Macaca fascicularis: one gene and its partners. The protein of the gene in region 1 interacts with the protein of each later gene in a pairwise test. Links are inferred from orthologs where the notes say so. Each region holds a gene or a part of one and is shown in the gene's direction. Other genes may lie near its edges.

Region 1 (7,788 bases):
GTCCAGTTTTTAGAACTGTACCATGTTACCAGTCTTTTGGATTCATTCATTCACTCAGAGAGTTAATATTTTCTGAGTGCCTAGTCTGTTTAGGTACTGCCTTACATGCCAAAATACAATAGTAAACAAAATTTCTACTCTCATGGAACTTACATTCTACTAGAGGGAGAAAGAGTATGAACATAATAAATAGTGTAATTTTAAAGTAGCATGGGAAAAATAAAATGAGTTAAAGAGGATAGGTAGTGCTAGGAGGGTTGTGATTTTAAGTAGGGTGGTCTAGTTGGGGTAACCCCATTTAGAAAGTGACCTTTGAGGAAAGACTTGAAGGAAGTGAGGGGGTGACACATATGGGTATGGGAGGAACAGCATTCCAGACAAAGGGAACAGCAAGTGCAAAGACCTTAGGAGGAAATCCTGCCTTGCATGCTTGAGGAACAGCAAAGAGGCTAGTATGGCTGGAGTAATGGAATAGAAGAAGAGAGACCTGAGTGAGCACACTCAGCCGCCTCGCCATGTGATGGCCTGTGCTACCTCAGTACTCTGCAGAGTCCCCACATGCAAGAAGGTCCCACCAAATGTCCCCCTTGACCTTGGAATTCCAATACTCCAGAACTGTAAGAAATAAAATTACCCAGTTTCGGGTATTCTGTTATAAGCTTAGTCCAGAAAATGGACTAAGACACAGAAAGAAGAGCTGTGAGGATGAGGATCAGGAAGCCAGATTCTAGGACCTATATTATAAATACATGGTTTTAATCTGAGATGAGGATGGGGCAGTTATGAGCAAAGGAGTGATATGGACTGGTTTACATTGTAACAGAACCACTCTGGCTTCTGTGTTGACTCAGAGTAGATTGTAGGCCAGGGAACTGAGTTAGGCTGGAAAGTATTACTAAGATTCACTACCCTTGAAGAGATATCTACTCAGGTGAGCACACAAAACTAAAATTTTATATGGCTCTTTGTGCTTGTGACTGGTAAAGTCTTTGAGATACCTGAGTAAATGAAACATTAGCCACATGAACTGTTTAATAATTAAAATTAAGCATGAAATAGGGAATTCTCAACACTGAGCTTCTGATAGTGTGATTGCTAGAAAACTCACAGGCACAGAGAAGTAAAAATAAACATCAAAGTAATTTTTAAAGGCTTATAGTATTAGTAAAGAGCAACTACTAATTTGTATTACCTGCAGAAGAAACTAAGAAGAATACAAATAAGATGAATCTCTTAGGGACATACTTCATTAGCAATAAAGATGAACAGAGAATAGCAATGCTTTATAAGATGATATATGAATTTAATTATCAGGAAATAATGTTGATATGGAGTTTACAAACATGCTTATAATTATTTCATGTCATCTGAATTATCTTATAAGCTTACGTATCTTGCAAATGACTAAGGCTGAGTTTATTACTTCTGGTTCCAGATCCTATGATGACTATCATAGTCAGTTCTCACGCTGCAATGAAGAAATAACTGAGACTGGGTAATTTATAAAGGAAAGACTTTTAATTGACTCATAGTTCTGCATGGATGAGAAGGCCTCAGGAAACTTATAATCATGGCAGAAGAGGAAGCAAACACACCTTTTTTTTTTTTTCACATGGCTGCAGGAAGAAGACCGAGTGCCCAGGGAAGAAGGAAGCCCCTTATAAAACCATCAGATCTCGTAAGAACTCACTATCACAAGGACAGGATGGGAAGAATCGGCCCCGTGATTCAATTATCTCCACCTAGTCCCTCCCGTGACACGTGGGGATTATGGGAACTACAATTCAAGATGACATTCAGGTGGGGACACGGCCAAACCATATCAATGGCTCACACCGTTTGCCTACCTGCAGAGCTTAAAACACACTTGGTCTATAACATCTTTAACTACCAATTAAAAACGAAACACTAAAAGAAAGTCAATTTGCCTCATGAGAATTTTCCACAATTTCAGTTAAGGGACTTGCTGTGTTCTGTTAAGCATGTGTTATGGTCAAAATGAAATTAGAGATCCACTAAAAAATGCTTAATAATGCATATGTAGGTATGACAAAGATTTGCAGATGTTTTTCCTTGATTACGAGAGCCATCTCCAGTATCAAAGTAACACTCTTGAGCATTCTGAAGCATGTAGGGTTTATTTACAGTGATACATAAGGTTTGAAAAGGATGCTTTACCAAAAGTTTTGTTAATGAAATAGGAATGCAAATAAAGAGGTACTACATTTACTAGATTGTAATTGGCAACCAAAAGTAACCTTTTTCTAACGTAAACCTTGTTATGTTTGTTGCTTTGCTGCATCTCATTTCTTTTGGTAGGTTGTTTTTATTATTCTGTTAGGAGAAAAAACTTAATTTTGCTTGATTTTCTTTGATCTAGGAGTCATTTAAAGATGTAATGCCATCTTCCTTGCCAAATTTGATTCTGTCTTCCTCACTTATTTCGGTCAACAGAACTTCATCTTTCCAGTTCTTGTAGCCAAAAATCAGCCTTGACACCCCCCTTAGAACTTATGCACTAGTGTTTCCTCTGGCAGCTCTTTCCTTATAACAAATCATTATAATTCCTCTGAACTGAAGCGATCCAAAAAAAAAAAAAAAAATGAGCAACTTATAATTGCAAAGTTACTTTATGTATTTTATTTGATTCTCATCATAGTTAGGAGACTCCACTCTTTTCCTTAAAGTTTAAAAGAATGCCTGAAATCAACCCTTAATACCGTAAACACATAATGAGTACCAAAGCGTTCCTCTGTCATAGGTAAGCAGCACTCCTCAATAAAAGATCAAGGTGCCTTCTGGTCCATGGGACATCACCATTTCAACAAGAGAAAACTTCAGAGGCTTCATTAGGAAGCTTTCGTTTAAAAAGTGTTCCTCCCACTATACAAGTGAAACCAGCTTTAATACAGAGAAATCAAAACAAAGAAAAATAAAGTGGGGAACAGCTTTTGAGTATTTTCTTAAAATTTTCCATTTTTTCGACTTTGCACAATATTATAATAAAGGAACATGGGATCCTTTATTATTGTTACCACAGTTGTTTAATATTCTTTTCATAAAGTTAACCATGTTTATTTAGCCATTTTCTTAGCTTTTGCCATCATGGCACTTTGAAAATTTTCTTTGTAATTGCTGCAATGACCTTGGAGATCACAGATGCATACTACCTGCTCAAGTTTATTCTTGGAAGTGGTATTACCAAATTAAAGGTTCTCAATATTTCCTGGGGTACTGCAATTTTTAATTGCATATTAAAACTGTTATTACTGAGATCGACATTCCTCTCACCAATTCACAAATACACAGTCACGGACATCTTGAGATCTATAAAACGTCAAGCCGCGTTCATTTCACAAATTCACAAGTTAAACCTAAAGATCTGAACCGAGAAGCCGGACCTAGGGTCTATTTCTCCCCCCCGGATCCACCCCGACTTATTAAGCAGTTAGGTCGACCCTTCCGTGCTCATTCAAGGCAGTGCAGAGCTTTTGTTCCCCCGCCCAGTGGAATCTACCCTGGTCCCAGCCCCTCGTCCAACTCCCGTGGGACGCCACGCAATACGGAGTTCAAGAAGCGCAGAAATCTCCTGACCCCCACTAGTCCACACTAGGTAGCAAGACCGCAGCACCTACGCCACAGGGTCAAATCGGAAACCAGAAAAGGCACCCGATGCCCGTCGCCCAGTCTCGGCCACCAGCGACGCTTTCTTTCCCTGGCGCACGATGCCGGCCTTTCAGCCCAGACTCATCGAGCGAGGATGCCGCGCTGAGAAGCTTCTAAGGCTCAGGGCCTGCAAAGCCCAGCAGCCGGCTGTAGGTGTCCTTAGCAAATGCCAGACCGCGCGCACCGTCCCAGCAAGTCCCGAGCGAGTGTGGGACAGGCAGCAAATCAGTGCCCCCCTGGCCAGGCAGAACTAGTCGAACTTGGAAGTAGAGAGCAGGCGGAGGCCGGCGCTTAACTGTAGCTAAGCAGGCCGGGTCTGGCTTTGGGCCCTGGGCCTTCCAGCCGGGGACTCTGCGCCTGCGCCCGCCTGGCCGCCGCCCGCTCTCCCGGCGCTGCAGCTGTCTGGGCTGCTGCGCGCCGCCTAGGTGTCTGGGCAATCCATGGGCAAGAGCAAGAGCCACGATGACAGATTACGGCGAGGAGCAGCGCAACGAGCTGGAGGCTCTGGAGTCCATCTACCCTGACTCCTTCACAGGTGACTTCCGCGGCCGCAAGCCTGCAGCCGCCCCAAGGTGGAGTGGGACGGGCAGGAGCCGCCGCAGCTCTGGGCCTCCTAGGCTGGGGTGGAGAAGGGGACCGTGAGGCCGCGCGGCCACCTTGCCCTCCACTCTTCTCAAGTTCTTCAGTCACTTACCAGCAACCCAGTGACTTTTTCCCCCTTCTCTGCTTGTCCCTGAAATCTAAAAGTCCGGGTGATGCTGGAAGGTGTCAGGCCTGAAAATTGAGTCGGGGTTACTTTGGTTTCTGTGTAACCTACAGCAACCTGAGATTTATAATACATTAAGAGAAAAGATACTCCAAGTGAGATTCGTTTTTCCACAGCTGCAAGGATGTTAGTTTTCACATTTTCACCTTTATTAAGGTAGAAACTGTTTTTCATACGATGCTGTTTTAGTTTATGGGATTCAGAGTACTGTTCTCAGTTACTCAGATAGGTTTTGAGAGTAGTATAGTCCCTGAAGTCTGTCGGGTTTCTTTTCTTACGAGAAAAAAAAAAAAAAAATCTAGCATTCAGTAGAATGCCTAATGGATAATGTGGCCCAAATTTTCGTTCCGCTATAAATTCATAGGTTGTTAGATTGGAAGGGAGGTTAGACATCATCTAGCCTGGGGATCCTGCTACAAGTCAAGGTCTTGGGGGCTCAGGAAAGCTAAGTGGCTTGCTCTGGACTGTACGCCAGCGAGTTAGCGGCAGGGCTGGTACTAAGAGTTACGTCCGGAACGCCTGCCTGTTCTTTCACCTTCCAGACATATGGGACTTGGGATTCAGCTCCAGCTGAGATTGGGGAGAGCAGAAGATTACTTGATAGGTTGGGCTAATGTAAAATATTGTAATGAGAAGTTCATTAGGTATAATTTAGAGGATGAGATTTCTCTATTAAGCCATGCTTCGGATGATTATAAAAATGCTACATAACTATATCAATATGGCTCCTCTGAGATTTGAGAAGCGGCCAAATAAAGCCAATATGAGTGAGTAGAAACTAGGTGTGTGCATTTACATTCGCCATCCTTTCCTTTGAGTGTTGCCTATGGTTGATAGTCAGAATTTATTGTGGAAGGTATATTACTTTAACTCATAAACTCCAACCCCTCCCCCTTTCATCGTTTAGCTTAGTTTTCTTGGTTCCACCTTTTGATCACTGCTTGCAATGGTAGCAAATTTTGTTCTGCTTTGCCAACAGGCAGATGTCTCTCAGCTATCCCTGTATAGCTCCAGTCCTGTTCATGTTCTCTCTCACCAGCAGTACATCTGTGCTGTGAGGATGTTAAGGGGATGAGTGAAGAGGGGTTTGAGAGTGTCATTAACTGGGTGAGTGTGTATGGAGTCTGGCTCCCTTCTCTATCCTTGCTTATATGTCTGTGTCTAAAATAGAATATAGGGTCAGTTGTTGGATATATTCTTAATCATGTTTGGTCATTTCCAGAACTTTGGAAACATAATAGATATGAACACTGTAGGCAGAGTCAAGAAAGCAGGATATGCTATTCTTTTCATTTCTTTGGACATAAGCTATCCCTCACTAAATTCTATGCATATAAGCATTTATAAAACTGATACCTTTTTTTTGGTTTTTAACCCTGAAATAATCTTGTGGGTATTTCAAATTGTACTAGGCCCTGACAGCTCTGGTATAGTTCACTATGTGAAATTCTTATCAGATGCCCAAGTGCTTGAGGATTCTGAGCCAGGGTAATAAAAGACAATTATGAATCTTTTGATGCATTCAGGTATTCTGCACTATCAGATAAGCCATCTGTCTGTAACTCCTGTCAACAGTTCTACAAGCTTTGCAATAAATAAATTAAAATGAGATGTCTTTATTTATAGTTCTTAGGGAACGTTGCCTTCCTAGTGATCAAGTTCTTTATGAAACCTCTTGGGGAAAAGGCAGAGGATTTTGAAATAAAATGTTTCCATGTCTGATCTTTTAAAATCTTGGAGATTTGCAAGATTTGCTGTTTTAAAGCCTTCTTTTGTATTTATGATTCCATACTTTTGTATTCTCATGCCAGGTTTAAGAAAGAGATCTTGCTTGTGTCAGTTGGCCAAGGAACACTAAATGAGGTTTTGTAACTTCATTTTGAATCACATTTAATTATTAAATTTGGTTAATACTCAATGCTATTGATGAAGGAAATATACTTTTTTTTTTTAAATGGACGACTGAGTGCCTGACAAAGAAGCATTTGTTAAGTACACGTAACCCCATGTGAATGCTGAAGAGGCACAGTCCAGCCCATAGACGTAGGCACATAGATTTAGCGTAACCTCAGAATTAATTGCTTTGACTATTTGCAAAGTACTTTTGGTCCAGTGTTGCATTTGTTGTGGTTATAACAAATCATAATACAATTTCTTCTTTTTGCCTATTCTGTAGCTTGATTGCACATTGATCCAACCCTCCTAACAACTAGTCTTCCAAAATATAAATGGACTCTCCTGATACCACATTCTCCTTCAGTAGTTCTTCACTTGACAAGGTCCTGCTAAGGTAGTAGAATTTGGTTATTTCAATTTATGTATTGAAATCTCTGGCTGTGGGGAGTTTTATTGAAACAAATTTGTTGGCATCAGGTTAACCAAAAGCCAAGTTTCCTTAATTCTGTTTGCCTTACAAAGAGGAGTACATAATCCTGTATTTCTTTATCAGTACCTCTAAGCAGCAGCCATTCACATTTAACAGTTATAATTGTATCTTGAGATAGGTAAGAAGTCATCTTGTAAAAGCAGTTTGTTCTAAGTCATACTTTTTGAAAGGTCAGACACTCCCTAACAACCAGAGGTGCTTATTTTAATATGGGCTCTCTCATATTTTGTGGAAACTAAAGGTGATTTGTGTATCTCTTAATGTACCTTTTAGCTTCTACCTCTTTATCCCTGTTTTTGACAAATCTTTAATTCTATCAGTTTCACCACCATCTGTCCCCTAACGTCTCTCTGCCCTTCCTCTATGGCCAACAGCTAACTTTCTTCCTTCCTTCCTTTCCTTCCTTCCCTTCCTTCCCTTCCTTCCCTCCTTCCCTCCTTCCTTCTCTCCTCTCTTTCTTTCCCTTCCTTTCTTTTTTCTTTCTTTCTTTCTTTCTTTCTTTCTTTCTTTCTTTCTTTCTTTCTTTCTTTCTTTCTTTCTTTCTTTTCTTTTCTTTTCTTTTCTTTTCTTTTTTCTCTTTCTTTCCTTTCTTTTTTCTTTCTCTTTTCTTTTTCTTTTTTTCCTTTCTTTCTCTCTCTCCTTCCTTCCTTTCTTCCCCTTTCCTTTCCTTACCCTTTCCTTTCCTTTCCCTCTCCTCTCTTCTCCCCTCTTCTCCCCTCCCCTCTCCCCTCTCTCCTCTCCCTCTCCTTTTTGAGACAAGGTCTCACTCTGTCACCCAGGCTGAAGCACAGTGCCCCAGTCAGCTCACTGGAGCCATGGACCTCTGGACTCAAGTGATCTTCCCACCTCAGCCTCCAGAGTAGCTGGGATTACAGGCTCGCAGTACCATGCCTGGCTAATTTTTGCATTTTTTGTATCAGCAGAGGTCTTACTCTGTTGCCCAGGCTAGTCTTGAACTCTTGGCCTCAAG
Region 2 (7,688 bases), on another chromosome or scaffold:
TACAGTGAGCTATGATCATGCCACTGCACTGCAGCCTAGGCAATAGAGTGATACTCTGTCTCAGTCAATATAAATATAAGTATGTATTAATAAAAATAAGATATTCAGGCACAAAATACTACATTTTTTTTTTTTTTGTACAGATTGAATCTTACTTTGTTGCGCAGGCTGGTCTCAAACTCCTGGCTCCAATCAGTCCTTCTGCTGCAACCTCCCAAAGTGCTAGGATTATAGGCAGGAGCCACTGTGCTGTGCCAAAATAATATATTTTATATGATTTCATTTATATGAAATTCTAAAAAGTGCAAACTATGGTGGCAGAAAGCAGATCAGTGGTTGGCTGGGAATAGTGGGGAAGATTGAAAGGAGTTAGTTACAAAGGAATGCTGTAGGTGATGGAAATATTCCGTGTCTTGATTGCTTAGGTGGTTACACAGGTATATACATTTGCCATCGAACTGTGTGCTTTAACATGGATATAATTAAAAAAAAGTTGTACCTCATTAAATTTGGTTTAAAATATGCTAACCAAGGGTGGGCGCAGTGGCTCACGCCTGTAATCCTAGCCCTTTGGGAGGCTGAGGTGGGTGGATTGCCTGAGCTCAGGAGTTCAAGACCAGCCCAGGCAACATGGTGAGGAAATCCCATGTCTACTAAAATACAATTAGCTGGGCATGGTGGCACGTGCCTGTAGTCCCAGCTACTCGGGTGGCTGAGGCAGGAGAATCGCTTGAACCCGAGAGGAAGAGGTTGCAGTAAGCCAAGATTGTGCCACTGCACTCCAGCCTGGGCGACAGAAAATGTATCAACTCTTGGGCAAATATGTGCTGATTTCATGGCATACAAAGCAAATTGACTTCTGGTATAACTCTTTTGTAGCTATAAGAACTTCGTGTATGTATGTATGTATGTATTACAAAAAAATCCTTTGACACTTAAATGTAGGGGGAAAAACACCTCTACTTGAGTATTTGGGTTAGTTAAGGCTTTATTGAACTTTCTTGGGTATGTTTTTTTCTTACTCTTCAGTGGCCCGAACCTGTAACTTGATCTTGATTGTTCTGGATGTCCTGAAACCTTTGGGACATAAGAAGATAATTGAAAATGAGCTGGAAGGCTTTGGCATTCGCTTGAACAGCAAACCCCCCAACATTGGCTTTAAGAAGAAAGACAAGGGAGGCATTAATCTCACAGCCACTGTAAGTGGGGAAGACGACATGGGGCAGGCTGCTGCAGGAATAGGAGTGGGGAGTGGATTAGGGTGCATGGACATTGACATTGGAAAATTTCTTGGCTTTTCCCTGCACTAATTGAGATAGCACAGTGACTTCATAATGACTGACAAGAAAGACTTCAAGATTAGGGTAGGAGCCAGTCTCAGACTTACCTTTGCTGCTTATTTCCTCTTTTGGATTATCTATTGGGGATGATATGGGAGTGTGAACCAATATTATGCTTGCATAAAGTACATGGCCGCCAATGTCTTCTGTTTTCATTCATTTAACACAAATTTATAGAGTGCCTACCATGGGCCAAGCATTATTTTAGGCTCTGAGCAGGAATGGAAGAGGGAATAGTGAAACCCCCTGCTATTTTATTTTCTAGTTGGATAGAATAGCAAATATTAATGAGTAAAATATAATGTATTAGTCAATGATAAATGTGAGAACACAAAGTAGGGAAAGGAGATAGAGTGTTGGTGTGAGGGTTGCGGTTTTAAGAACGTTGGTCAGGGAAGTCTTCACTGAGGTAACATGAAGGTGTGAACCAAGTGGATATCTTGAAGAAGAGCATTTGCTTCATGCAGAGGAAACGTCCAAGTGGAAAGGTACTGAGGCAGGGCATGTCTTCCCATGTTTGAGGAACAGCAGAATGAGCAAGTAAGAGAGTAGTAAGAGATGAAGTCATAACATAGGGACATATGTGCTTTTACTTTACAGGAGATGGGTAACTTGGTTGAGTTCTGACCCACAAACATGATTTGACTTAGGTTTTAGTGGAATAATTCTGACTCTTATGTTGAGAATAGATTGCAGTAGGTTAAGAGCAGAAACAGAAATAATTTAAGAGGTTATTGCAATAACCAAGAAGTGATAGCTTCCTGGACCAGGGTTGTGACAGTGAAGGAGTTGAAAAGTGGTTGGTTGTGGAAAGATTTTGAAATAGCTGATAGTAATTACATCTGGATTGGGTATGCATTGTGAAAGAAAGAGTCAGAGATGCCTGTTTTGTTTTTTGTTTGTTTGTTTGTTTACTTATTTAGAGATGGAGTCTCACTCTGTCTTGCTCTGTCACCCACGCTGGAGTGCAGTGGCGCGATCCTGGCGCACTGCGACCTCTGCCGACCAAGTTCAAGAGATTCTTCTGCCTCAGCCTCCTGAGTAGCTGGGATTACAGGTGCCTGCCATTGTGCCCGGCTAATTCTTGTATTTTTAGTAGAGACGGGGTTTTACCATGTCGGCCAGCCTGGTTGATCTCATTCTGTCGCTTAGGCTGGAGTACAGTGGTACAATCACTGTTAGCTCAAACTCCTGGGCTCAAGTGACCCTCCTGCCTCAGCCTTCTAAGTAGCTAGGGCTATAGTCACATGCCTCCAGGCTTGGCTTTTTTTTTTTTTTTTTTTTTGGTAGAAACGGAGATTTGCCATGTTGCCCAGGTTGATCTTGAACTTTTGGCCTCAAACTATCCTCCTGCTTTGGTCTCCCAAAGTGTTGGGATTACAGGTGTGAGCCACCATACCCAGCCACTTTTTTTTTTTTTTTTTTGTCCTGAGCTAAAAAAAAAAAATGAACTCTTATTACTAAAATGGTAGGACTTTTGGTAGAGTAGGTTTGGAGGGAAGGAGAAGATCAGGATGTTAAGTTTTAGATGCCAGTTAGACATCTAGGTGTTTCTGTCAAGAAGGCATGTGGGGTAGGTTGGGCACAGTGGCTCATGACTGTACATCTATAATCCCAGCACTTTGGGAGGTTGAGGCAGGAGGATCACTTGAGCCCAGGAGTTCAAAACCAGCTTGGACAACAAAGTGAGACCCCATCTCTACTAAAAAAAAAAAAAAGGCATGAGGAATTACTTAGGCTGCATGAGGAATTACCTAGACTGGATATATAAATTTGGTGATTATCAACTTTAATGTCATGGACCTAACTGAGATCACCAAGGATGTGAGTATAGATAGAAAAGAAAAGAGAGTCAGGCGCGGTGGCTCATGCCTGTAATCCCAGCACTTTGGGAGGCCAAGGCGGGCAGATCACAAGGTCAAGAGATCGAGGCCGGGCGCGGTGGCTCAAGCCTGTAATCCCAGCACTTTGGGAGGCCGAGACGGGCGGATCAGGAGGTCAGGAGATCGAGACCATCCTGGCTAACACGGTGAAACCCCGTCTCTACTAAAAAATACAAAAAACTAGCCGGGCGAGGTGGCGGGCGCCTGTAGTCCCAGCTACTCGGGAGGCTGAGGCAGGAGAATGGCGTAAACCCGGGAGGCGGAGCTTGCAGTGAGCCGAGATCGCGCCACTGCACTCCAGCCTGGGTGACAGAGCCAGACTCCGTCTCAAAAAAAAAAAAAAAAAAAAAAAAAAATCGAGACCATCCTGGCCAACATGGTGAAACCCTGTCTCTATTAAAAACACAAAAATTAGCTGAGCATGGTGGCACACGCCTGTAATCTCAGCTGCTCAGGAGGTTGAGGCAGGAGAATCGCTTGAACCTGGGAGGAGGAGGTTGCAGTGAGCCGAGATCACACCACTGCACTCCAGCCTGGCAACAGAGTGGGACTCCATCTCAAAAAAAAAAAAAAAAGAAAAGAAAAAAGAAAAGAGAATCGGCCAGACACAGTGGCTGATGCTGAGGCTGAAGTGGGCAGATTACCTGAGGTCAGGAGTTGGAGACCAGCTACAAAAATTAGTCAGGCATGGTGGCACGCGCCTGTAATCCTAGCTACTTGGGAGACTGAGGCAGGAGAATCGCTTGAACCCAGGAGGTGGAGGTTGCAGTGAGCTGAGATTGCGCCATTGCACTCCAGCCTGGGCACCAAGAGAGAAACTCCGTCTCAAAAAAAAAAAAAGAAAAAAAGAAAAGAGACTCAAAGAGATAAGACTTCTTAGACAAAGAGAGAGAAGGAAAACTGAAAGAGTTTGAAATGCTGGAAGCCAAGTAAAGTGTTTCAGATAAGAGTGACCAGTTCTGTCAAATGCTGCTTCTCTGTCAGAATTGAGGACTGAGACTTTCCTACTAAATTTAACACTCCAGATGATTTGACTGGCATAGGTTTAAGCTGTCTTGCCCAAAACATCTTTCCCATTATCCTGTCTTAATGTTCGAATTTGAACATTTAAGATTATTTCTGTGTTAGTTTGCCAGGGCTGCCATAATATGGTACCACAGATGGGGTGGCTTAAATAACAAATTTATTTTTCATAATTCTAGAGGCTGGAAGTCTGAGATCAAGGTGATGGCAGGGTTGGTTTCTTCTGAGGCTTCTGTCCTTGGTTTACAGATATGACTTCATCTGGTGTTTGCTCTGTGTTTCTGTGTCCTAATCTCCTTTTCTCATTAGTACCACCAGTATTGGATTAGGGCCCCACTCTAATGACCTTATTTTAATTTGATTACCGCTTTAAAGACTCTTATCTCCAAATACAGTCACATTCTGAGATACTGAGATTAGGACTTCAACATATGAATTATTTTGTGGGGGAAGGAGGAACACAGTTCAGCGTGTAACACCTTCCTTGGAGTTTGAACATTTATTTCCTACTAAAAGTCAGTGACACTCATCCCGGATGTCTTTAGTAATGAGTTTGCATCTTAGCTAGAATTTTCCAGGTACATGGATATTGGTACACTTGGCAAGTATTTTTTTTTTTTAAATTTTGTGCTGACCAGTCATCTGCTATTCCCTTTCAGTGCCCCCAGAGTGAGCTAGATGCTGAAACTGTGAAGAGCATTCTGGCCGAATACAAGATTCATAATGCTGATGTGACTCTACGTAGTGATGCTACAGCTGATGACCTCATTGATGTGGTGGAAGGAAACAGGTACTGACTGAGTGTGCAGTCTGTGCCTGACTGGATTGGAAGCCTTGTGATGGAAACAGTATTGGATCTTGAATTTGGCAGAAGTTTATCTTAATTCCAGTTGTCCTACTATTTTTTTTTTTTTTTTTGAGATGGAGTCTCACTCTGTTGCCCAGGCTGGAATGCAGCAGCATGATCTCAGCTCACTGCAACCTTCACCTCCCAGATTCAAGAGATTCTCCTGCCTTAGCCTCCCGAGTAGCTGGGATTACAGGTGTGTACCACCATGCCCAGCTAATTTTTGTATTTTTAGTAGAGGTGGGGTTTCATCATGTTGGCCAGGCTGGTCTTGAACTCCTGACCTCAAGTGATCCGCCTGCCTCGGCCTCCCAAAATGTTGGGATTATAGGCGTGAGCCACTGTGTTCAGCCTGTGCTACTATCTTAAATGATAGTGGGCTTTGGTTTCTTTCTTTCTTTTTTTTTTTTTGAGGTGGAGTTTTGCTCTTGTTACCCAGGCTGGAGTGCAATGGCTCAATCTCAGCTCACTGCAACCTCTGCTTCCCGGATTCAAGCGATTCTCCTCCCTCAGCCTTTCTGAGTAGCTGGGATTACAGGCATGTGCCACCATGCCTGGCTAATTTTGTGTTTTTAGTAGAGATGGGGTTTCTCTATGTTGGTCAGGCTGGTATTGAACTCCCAACCTCAGGTGATCCACCCCACCTTGGTCTCCCAAAGTGCTGGAATTACAGGTGTGAGCCACTGTGCCCGGCCTTTTTTTTGTTTGTTTTTTTGAGATGGAGTCTCACTCTGTCACCCAGGCTGGAGTGCAATGGTGTGATCTCAGCTCATTGTAACCTCCACCTCCCAGGTTCAAGCGATTCTCCTGCCTCAGCCTCCCGAGTAGCGGGGATTACAGGTGTGCACCACCATGCACAGCTAATTTTGTATTTGTAGTAGAGATGGGGTTTCATTATGTTGGCCAGACTGGTCTTGAACTCCTCACCTCAAGTGATCCGCCTGCCTTGGCCTACCAAAATGTTAGGATTACAGACATGAGCCACTGCGTCCAGCCTGTGCTACTATCTTAAATGATAGTGGACTTTGTTTTTTTTTTTTTTTTTTTGTGAGACAAGTGTCTCACTCTGTTACCCAGGTTGGAGTATAGTGGCATGATCTTGGCTCACTGCAACCTCCACCTCCTGGGTTCAAGCGATTCTTTTGCCTCAGCCTCCTGAGTAGCTCGGATTACAGGTGCCTGCCACCACGTCTGGCTAATCTTTTGTATTTTCAGTAGAGATGGGGTTTCACCATGTTGGCCAGGCTGTTCTTGAACTCCTGACCTCAGGTGATCTACCTGCCTCAGTTTCCCAAAGTGCTGGGATTACAAGTATGAGCCGCTGTGCCTGGCCCCCGCCCCCTGGTTTTGTGTTTTTTTTTTTTTGGAGTCTTGCTCGGTCGCCCAGGCTGGAGTGCAGTGGCATGATCTTGGCTCACTGCAACCTCTGCCGCCAGGGTTCAAGCACTTCCACTGCCTCATCCTCCCGAGTAGCTGGGACTACAGGCGTCCGCCACCACACCTGGCTAATTTTTGTATTTTTAGTAGAGATGGGGTTTCTCCATGTTAGCCAGGCTGGTCTCTAACCTCAGGCAGTCTGCCTGCCTCTGCCTCCCAAAGTGCTGGAATTACAGGCATGAGCCACCATGCCTGCTGGCTTTGGTTTCTTTAGCTCTAAACTGAGGGATTCGTTTTGATTTCTGACATCCTTCCTTGCTTTTAAATTTAATTGTGATGGTCATATTCCCCATTTCAGTTTTTTTCTTTTACAGCCTCCTCCTATGAAATTCTCCATTTCAGTTACTTGCTGTAAACTAAGCTGCCCCCTAATCTTTGTCATGTGATAGTTGAAGAGAGTAGTAGGTGAGTCTGCTCTTCCAGAATTAATCCACCTGAGAAGTTCTATAGGCTGTGTCCTACAGAAGTCTGAGCCGGCCAGGCTGTGTTTGTTTTCTCCATCCTAAGAGTATGTAGCTGAGTATCTATTTCATGATACATTACTTTTTTTTTTTTTTTTGAGACAGGGTCACGCTCTTGTCGCCCAGGCTGTAGTGCAGTGGTGTGATCACGGCTCACCACAGCCTTGAACTCCGGGCTCAATCCATCCTCCCACCTCAAACTCCTGAGTAGCTGGGACTATGGCCGTGTACCACCAAGCCAAGCTAATTTTTGTATTTTTTATAGAGATGTTGTTTCCTCACCTTGCCAAGACTGGTCTTGAACTCCTGGGCTCAAGCAATCTGCCTGCCTTGGCCTCCCAACGTGTTGGGATTATAGGCATAAGACACTATGCCCAGCCCATTAATATTATTGAGACTTGAATAAGTTAAGTCACTGTTAAAATTCCTTGTAGCATTTGCATATAATATTTTTAGTTCTCCTAGTCATTTGTTCCTGTATGTTGGATGAACGTATTTACTCCTCGTTTGAAAACAAACAGAAGCCAGTGTTTTCAGTTAGGCATTTTACAAGTGAGGCAGTTAAACTGTGAGAAGTTGTGGCTTGCCTAATTATTAGTAACCTTAGCTGTCATATTCATTGGACACTAGAAATATGACATTGGTAGATGTGATATCATTTTTACCAATAAATATTATTTATTGTACCAATAAATAA
Region 3 (7,788 bases), on another chromosome or scaffold:
TCTGAGGACACAGTGGGAAAGTAGCCCTCTGCAAAACAGGAAGACAGCCCTCGCCAGAATGCAACTATGTTGGCATCCTGATCTTAGACTTCCAGCGTCGAGAATGAGAAAATAAATGTCTGTTGGTTATGCCACCAGTCCATGGCATTCTTTTTTTTTTTTTTTTTTTTTTTTTGAGACGGAGTCTCGCTCTGTCGCCTAGGCTGGAGTGCAGTGCCGTGATCTTGGCTCACTGCAGGCTCTGCCTGCTGAGTTCATGCCATTCTCCTGCCTCAGCCTCCCAAGTAGCTGGAACTACAGGTACCTGCCACCACTTCCGGCTAATTTTTTTTTTTTTTCTTTTTTGTATCTTTTAGTAGAGACGGGTTTTCACCGTGTTGGCCAGGATGGTCTCGATCTCCTGACCTCGTGATCCACCCACCTCGGCCTCCCAAAGTGCTGGGATTACAGGCATGAGCCACTGCGCCCGGCCCAAGTCCGTGGTATTCTATGGCAGCCTAAGCTGACTAAGACAACCCCTAAATATTGCATGTATATCTGCTAAGAATAAAGGCATTTGCTTACATCATCACACCAAGAAAATTTGTAATAGCTCCAGAATATTCAATATCCAATTCATAGTTAGATTTCTCTCAAATCGTCCTCAGAATGTTTTTTATTTGTTCAAAATGTTTGCTTATTTATTTAATTTATTTTAGAGACAGTATCTCACTCTATGGCCCTGGCTGGTGTGCAGTGGTATGATTATGGCTCACTGCAGCCTCTCTACCTTCTGGGCTCACATGATCCTCCTGCTTCAGCCTTCTGAGTAATCAGGACTACAGGTACATGCCACCACACCCAGCTCAGAATGTCTTTTTTTTTTTTTTTTTTTGAGATGGAGTTTATCTCTTATTGCCCAGTCTGGAATGCAGTGGCGCGATCTTGGCTCATTGCAACCTCTGCCTCCCGGGTTCAAGCGATTCTCCTGCCTCAACCTCCCAAGTAGCTGGGATTACAGGTGTGTGCCACCATGCCCGGCTAATTTTTTGTATTTTTAGTAGAGACGGGGTTTCACCATGTTAGCCAGGATGGTCTCGATCTCCTGACCTCGTGATCCACCCATCTTGGCCTCCCAAAATGCTGGGATTACAGGCGTGAGCCACTGCACCCGGCCTCTAATTTTGTACTTTTAATAGAGATGGGATTTCGCCATGTTGGCCAGGCTGGTCTTGAACTCCTGACCTCAGGTGATCCACCCACCTCGGCTTCCCAAAATGCTGGGATTACAGGCGTGAGCCACTGTGCCCAGCCCAGAATGTCTTTTTATAGGTGCTTTTAATTTTTTCAACCAGAATTAACTGGCCATGGTGGCATGTGCCTGTAGTCCTAGCTACTTGGGAGGCTGAGGCTGGAGGATCACTTGAGCTGAGGAGTTCAAGGCTGCAGTTAGTCATGATCATGCCACTACACTCCAGCCTGGGTGATAGAGAGACACCTCATCTCTAAAAAAAGAAAAATAGCCTGTAATTCCAGCACTTTGGGAGGCCAAAGCGGGCAGATCATGAGGTCAGGAGACTGAGGCCATCCTGGCTAACATGGTGAAACCCAGTCTCTACTAAAAATACAAAAATTAGCTGGGCGTGGTGGCAGGCGCCTGTAGTCCCAGCTACTCAGGAAGCTGAGGCAGGAGAATCGCTTGAACCTGGGAGGCAGAGGTTGCAGTGAGCCGAGATTGTGCCACTGCACTCCAGCCTGGGTGATGGAGCAAGACTCCGTCTCAAAAAAAGAAAAAAATATATAAATATAAATAAATAAAAATTTCAACCAGAATCCGGACAAGTTCCACACATGTAACATTTTTTCATTTAGAACAATCCCCCTGCTTATCTCCGGCTACTGTCATTGACAATTTTGATGAACCAAGGCCACCTGCCTTATAAAATGTTCCACTTTCTACATTATCTGATGTTTCCTCATGCCTGAACTCAGTTATAGTATTTTTGGCAAGAATTCTACATAAGAGATGCTGTCAACCAGTCAAGGTGGCTCATGCCTGTAATCCTAGCACTTTGGGAGGCTGAGGTGGGAGGATTGCTTGAGACCAGGAGTTCAAGAGCAGCCTGGGCAACATAGTGAGACCCCATCTCTACAAAAAACTTTTTTTTTTTAATTAGCCAGGCATAATGGTTTGGGCCTGTAGTCACAATTACTCAGGAGGTCTGGGAGGATCACTTGAGCCTGGGAGGTTGAGGTTGCAGTGAGCTGTAGTCAAGCCACTGTACTCTAGCCTAGGCAATAGAGGGAGAGCCTAAGGAAAAAAAAAAAGTCATGAGATGCTGTCTGCTTTACACTGCTTCATATCAGGAGGCATCTGATGGTAGGTGACGCTGAGTTGGAGTACTTAGTTAAGGTGGTATGGGGGGCCAGGTGCAGTGGCTCATGCCTGTAATCCCAGAACTCTGGGAGGCCAAGGCTGGCAGATTCCTTTAGCTCAGAAGTTCAAGACCAGCCTGGGCAACAATGGTGAAACCCCATCTGTACAACATTATACAAAAATCAGCCAGGCGTGGTGGCTGACTTTCTCCCAGACTGAGGAGGTAGGATTACCTGAGCCTGGGAGGTCGAGGCTGCAGTGAGCTGTGATCACGCCACTGCACACCAGCCTAGGTGATCAAGTGAGACCCTGTCTCAAAAAAAAAAAAAAAAACAAATGGTGGTATGGGGATCCACTTTTTTTCTTTTCTTTCTTTCTTTTTTTTTTTTTTTTTGAGACAGGGTCTTGCTTTGTTGCCCATGCTGGAGTGCAGTGGCAGATCTTGGAGATCCATTATGAACTTCTTCAAGCTTGTCCAACCTTAGGTCTGCAGCCACATGTGGTCCAGGACTGCTTTGAATGTGGCCAAACACAAATTCATAAACTTTCTTATAACATTATGAAATTTAGGCGGGGCACAGCGGCTCACCCCTGTAATCCCAGCACCTTGTGAGGCTGAGGCAGGCGGATCACTTGAGGTCAGAAGTTCATGACCAGCCTGGCCAGCTTGGTGAAAACCTGTCTCTACTAAAAATACAAAAATTAGCCAAGCGTGGTGGCATGCGCCTGTAATCCCAGCTACCTGGGAGGCTAAGGCAGGAGAATCACTTGAACCTGGGAGTTGGAGGTTACAGTGAGCCAAGATCGTGCCACTGCACTACAGCCTGGGCGACAAAGTGAGACTCCGTCTCAAAAAAACAAAACAAAGAAAAAAAATTGAACTTTTTTTTTTTTTTTTTGAGATAGAGTTTCCGTCTTGTTGCCCAGGCGGGAGTGCAATGGCACGATCTCCACTCAACGCAACCTCCCACTCCCGGGTTCAAGCAATTCTCCTGCCTCAGCCTCCCGAGTAGCTGGGATTCCAGGCATGCGCCACCACGCCCGGCTAATTTTGTATGTTTAGTAGACACGGGATTTCTCCATGTTGGTCAGGCTGGTCTCGAATTCCCAATCTCAGGTGATCCGCCTGCCTTGGCCTCCCAAAGTGCTGGGATTACAGGCGTGAGCCACCGCGCCCGGCCAAAACATTAACTTTTTTGGCGATTTTTTTAAAGCTCATCAGCTATCATTAGTGTTAGTGTATTTTATGTGTGGCCCAAGACAATTCTTCCAATGTGGCCCAGGGAAGCCAAAAGATTGGACACCTCCATTTATAGTATAAAATGAGAGCCACCAGGCTTTCGACTCAGACCCTTTTCCTTATACTGCCAGTCAGCTGCGCGCAGGGACTCGCAGTTCAGGGTTCATCACCAGCAGATTCCCTCTCTTCCTTGCTTGCTCCGGCCAGCCTAGCCGTGGGCCAGTACAGTATGGCCCGGCCCCGCCCCCGCCCTTCCCAGAGGTCCACAGCCTGGCCGGTCCAGCGGGCGGAACCGATAGTGTCTGGCAACTTGGCTCGCTCGGACTCTGAATCCCGGAGCACCAGGCGCCCACGAGAACGCTGTTCTCCTTGACTTCCGGGCGCACGCTCCTCTGTCGCCGCCGTCAGAGCGGAATTCCCGGTGCCACCGCAGCCGCTGTCTGTGCGCCCAGCTCTGCTGCCGCCATGGGGATCTTAGAGAAGATCTCGGAGATCGAGAAGGAGATCGCTCGGACGCAGAAGAACAAGGGTGAGGGCCGGACGGGCGGGGCCTTCCTTTCTGCCCGCCTCAGTTTTCCTGTCTGTAAAATGGGGGAACAACTCCAGCAGTAATGCTGGGACAAGATCCGAGGCTGCGGAGAAGTTGCCAGACAAGTGCCGAGGCCGGCCTGCGCGCCCAAGGCAGGGCCAGGCGGGAGCGGGTCTCACACCCAGGTCTGACTGCAAACGGCCCCCAAGAGATCTGATCAGTCCTAGACCGTGTGTCCAAGTAGAGTAATCCCAGCTCACAGAGCAAGCATCTGACCCATCTGACCCAGAGAGAGGCAGAGCTAGGGTTCAAACCCCAGTCTCCTGATGGCTGGGCCCGGGGCTTTGGTGGTCTCCCCTGTTGTTTTGGGAAGTACAAGAGGAGACCTCTCAGGAACAGCCTCACTCAGTAGCTGAGAGCCCACTGGAGCAAGGGAATCAGGACTCTGGAGTCTGGAAGGCCTGGGTTTGAACCCCAGGTCCACCACGTACCTTGTGTAAAACACTGGAAAGTCACTTCACTTCTTGGAGCCTCAGTGTCTTCATCTGTAAATGGGGTGATACTTTCCTGCTCCATCTTAGCACACAGCTGAGTTAAATTAGATGGCCTTTACAAAGCACTGGGCACATGGTAAGCACTCAGTATTTAAAGTAAACACCCCAACATAGATAATAGATAATGAAGCCTCAAATCTGGACTTTAGAATGTAAGGGCTGGAGGAGCTCACAGAAGAGAGATTAGGAGAGAATGATGACACTAGGAGGAAGTGGGACTTGAGCTGGTTGTTGGGAGGGTTTCCCAGGTGGGGGCCACTACTGAGACAAAGACATGGGAGTGAGCATGATGTGTTCATGGGACAGTGAGAGCAGTCTAGATCACAAGGTGGGTATGGAAGAGTAATGGGAGAAGCAATTGGCCAGGCTAGTAGCTAGCCATTCAGGCTTGTGGGAGAAGGAAGCAAGCAACACCAGATAGCTGGTCCCAGTGTCTGCCTTCCCTTGGTTCCATTTAGGTTTGAAGGCCGAGGAGTTGAGGGCCCTCTATGACTCATTCCTTCTGTAAATCTTTTTTGTTTGTTTGTTTGTTTGTTTGTTTGTGACAGTCTTGTTCAGTCACCCAGGCTGGAGTGCAGTGGCGCCATCTGGGCTCACCACAACCTCTGCTTCCCAGGTTCAAGCGATTCTCCTGCCTCCGTCTCCAAGTAGCTGGAGGCACGCACCACCACACCCAGCTAATTTTTGTATTTTTTTAGTAGAGAGGAGGTTTCGCCATGTTGTCCAGGCTGGTCTTGAATTCCTAACCTCAGGTAATCCGCCCTCCTCAGCCTCCCAAAGTGCTGGGATTACAGGCGTGAGCCACCATGCCCGGCCGATCTTTCCTGAGCCTTTACTATGTGCTAGGCACTGTGGTTAAAGCAGTGAACACAGCAGGCATATCCCAGCCCTCAGATCTGACCTTCTAGTTGACAGTCTGAAAACTAGAAATAAAATAAATAAAACAATGTCAGCCAGCAGTATGTGCTATGAAGACAAACCAGGGTGATACAGCAGAGTATTAGGGGTGGGGAGGGGCTGGGGATTGGGCCTGCTTAGGTGAAATGATAGAGAAGACCACCATGAGAATGGGGCGTTTCAACTAAGACCTGAATGAGAAGAAGGAACTGGTCATGCAAACATCTGGGAGAAGAGTGTTCCTGGCAGAAAGAACAGCTAATGCAAAGGCCCTGAGGCAGGAACAAACTTGGCTGTTTACAGATCAACAGGACTAGGGTGGGGTGCAGTGATGGGACAGGAGGGGGTCGATCATGCAGAGCCACAGGTCATGGGAAAGACTCTGGGTTGTGTTCTAAGGCAGTGGGAGCTGGTGCAGGGTGCTAAGCAGGGGAGGGGCTATTCTGACTTCTGTCTTAAAAGTTCCCTCTGGGCCGGGCGCGGTGGCTCAAGCCTGTAATCCCAGCACTTTGGGAGGCCGAGACGGGCGGATCACGAGGTCAGGAGATCGAGACCATCCTGGCTAACACGGTGAAACCCCGTCTCTACTAAAAAAAACACAAAAAACTAGCCGGGCGAGGTGGTGGGCGTCTGTAGTCCCAGCTACTCGGGAGGCTGAGGCAGGAGAATGGCGTAAACCCGGGAGGCGGAGCTTGCAGTGAGCTGAGATCCGGCCACTGCACTCCAGCCTGGGCCACAGAGCCAGACTCCGTCTCAAAAAAAAAAAAAAAAAAAAAAACAGTTCCCTCTGGCTGCTGTGTGGAATATTACCTGTAAGGCCCAAGGAAAGTCACAGGGAGGCTAGAGATGCTGCTACTTTGGCTGTGGTAGACAAAGGAGATGTAAAGGTGATTAAGACCTAGTCCTTCCCTTCAGATATGCTCAGAATTTTAGGAGCTGGGATGACAGGAAGGGCCATGTGAACCTGACTGACACTGAATCCTTTTTTTTTTTTTTTTTTTGAGATAGTCTTGCTCTGTTGTCCAGGCTGGAGTGCAGTGGTGTGATCATAGCTCACTGTAATTTCAAACTCCTGCATTCAAGCAATCTTCCCACCTCCACCTCTCGAGTAGCTGGGACTACAGGTGTGCACCACCACACCGGGCTAATTTTTACATATATATTTTTTTTTTCTTTTCCTTTTTTTTTTTTTTTTGTTTTTTTTTGTTTTTTTGAGACAGAGTTTCACTCTTATTGCCCAGGCTGGAGTACAGAGGTGCGATCTCAGCTCACAACCGCCGCCTCCCAGGTTCAAGCGATTCTCCTGCCTCAGCCTCCCAGGTGTGCACCACCACGCCCAGCTAATTTTGTATTTTTAGTAGAGACAGGGTTTCTCCATGTTGGTCAGGCTGGTCTCGGACTCCCGACCTCAGGTGATCCGCCCACTTCGGCTTCCCAAAGTGCTGGGATTACAGGTGTGAGCCACCGCGCCCGGCCAATTGTTACATTTTTTGTAGAGGCACAGTCTCACTGTGTTGCCCAGGGTGGTCTTGACCTCCCAGCCTCAAGCAGTCCTCCCTCCTTGGCGTCCCAAAGTGTTGGAGATTACAGGTGTGAGCCACCATGCCCAGCTGCAGAACCCATTCTTGACCCTTTCTCATTGCTATCAATTCACACATTCACTTGGCAAAATATTTCCTGTGTGCTTGGGCCCTGTGCTGGAAGCTGGGGATCCAGTCCCATTTCCTGACCTACCAGAGTCAGGGAAGTAAAGAAATAAGATAGTTTTCAGACTTCAGAAGACAGTAAACTGGCTCACGAGGCAGGAAGGGGTCTGGGGAAGGACGGAATTTACTGTAGATTATAGCCAACTTTTATTAGGTGCTTACTGTGTGCTAAGCGATGTTCTTAGTGCTTTCTGTAAAACTTCTCCATTATTCCACCATCAAAAATCTGCTGAAGTATGGTCAGGCACAGTGGCTCACGCCTGTAATCCTAGCATTTTGGGAGCCGAAGTGGATGGATCACTTGAGGTCAGGAGTTCGAGACCAACCTGGGCGACATGGTGAAATCCCGTCTCTACTAAAACTACAAAATTGGCCAGGCGTGGTGGCACCAGCCTGTAGTCCCAGCTACTCGGGAGGAGGAAGCAGAAGAATCTCTTGAACCCAGGAGGTGGAGGTTATAGTGAGCCAAGATCACACCTGTGCACTCCAGCCTGACACCAGCAAGA

The links.
Region 2: the proteins of RWDD1 (region 1) and DRG1 interact in binary tests that used the Homo sapiens proteins (3 or more experiments, as listed by UniProt). The two-hybrid records come from large-scale screens. The link is inferred for Macaca fascicularis from reciprocal best matches to the Homo sapiens genes RWDD1 and DRG1.
Region 3: the proteins of RWDD1 (region 1) and DRG2 interact in binary tests that used the Homo sapiens proteins (3 or more experiments, as listed by UniProt). The link is inferred for Macaca fascicularis from reciprocal best matches to the Homo sapiens genes RWDD1 and DRG2.

What each region holds. Positions count from the first base shown.
Region 1 is NC_088378.1:20,582,422-20,590,209, forward strand, and holds the start of RWDD1 (RWD domain-containing protein 1), read left to right. Parts: upstream 1-4,049; 5' UTR 4,050-4,128; coding exon 4,129-4,201; intron 4,202-5,411; exon of another isoform or gene 5,412-5,539; intron 5,540-6,608; exon of another isoform or gene 6,609-6,722; intron 6,723-7,788. UniProt on the Homo sapiens protein: Protects DRG2 from proteolytic degradation.
Region 2 is NC_088384.1:20,206,056-20,213,743, reverse strand, and holds part of DRG1 (developmentally-regulated GTP-binding protein 1), read left to right. Parts: intron 1-1,029; coding exon 1,030-1,199; intron 1,200-4,905; coding exon 4,906-5,036; intron 5,037-7,688. UniProt on the Homo sapiens protein: Catalyzes the conversion of GTP to GDP through hydrolysis of the gamma-phosphate bond in GTP. Appears to have an intrinsic GTPase activity that is stimulated by ZC3H15/DFRP1 binding likely by increasing the affinity for the potassium ions.
Region 3 is NC_088390.1:18,200,971-18,208,758, forward strand, and holds the start of DRG2 (developmentally-regulated GTP-binding protein 2), read left to right. Parts: upstream 1-3,967; 5' UTR 3,968-4,061; coding exon 4,062-4,125; intron 4,126-7,788. UniProt on the Homo sapiens protein: Catalyzes the conversion of GTP to GDP through hydrolysis of the gamma-phosphate bond in GTP. When hydroxylated at C-3 of 'Lys-21' by JMJD7, may bind to RNA and play a role in translation.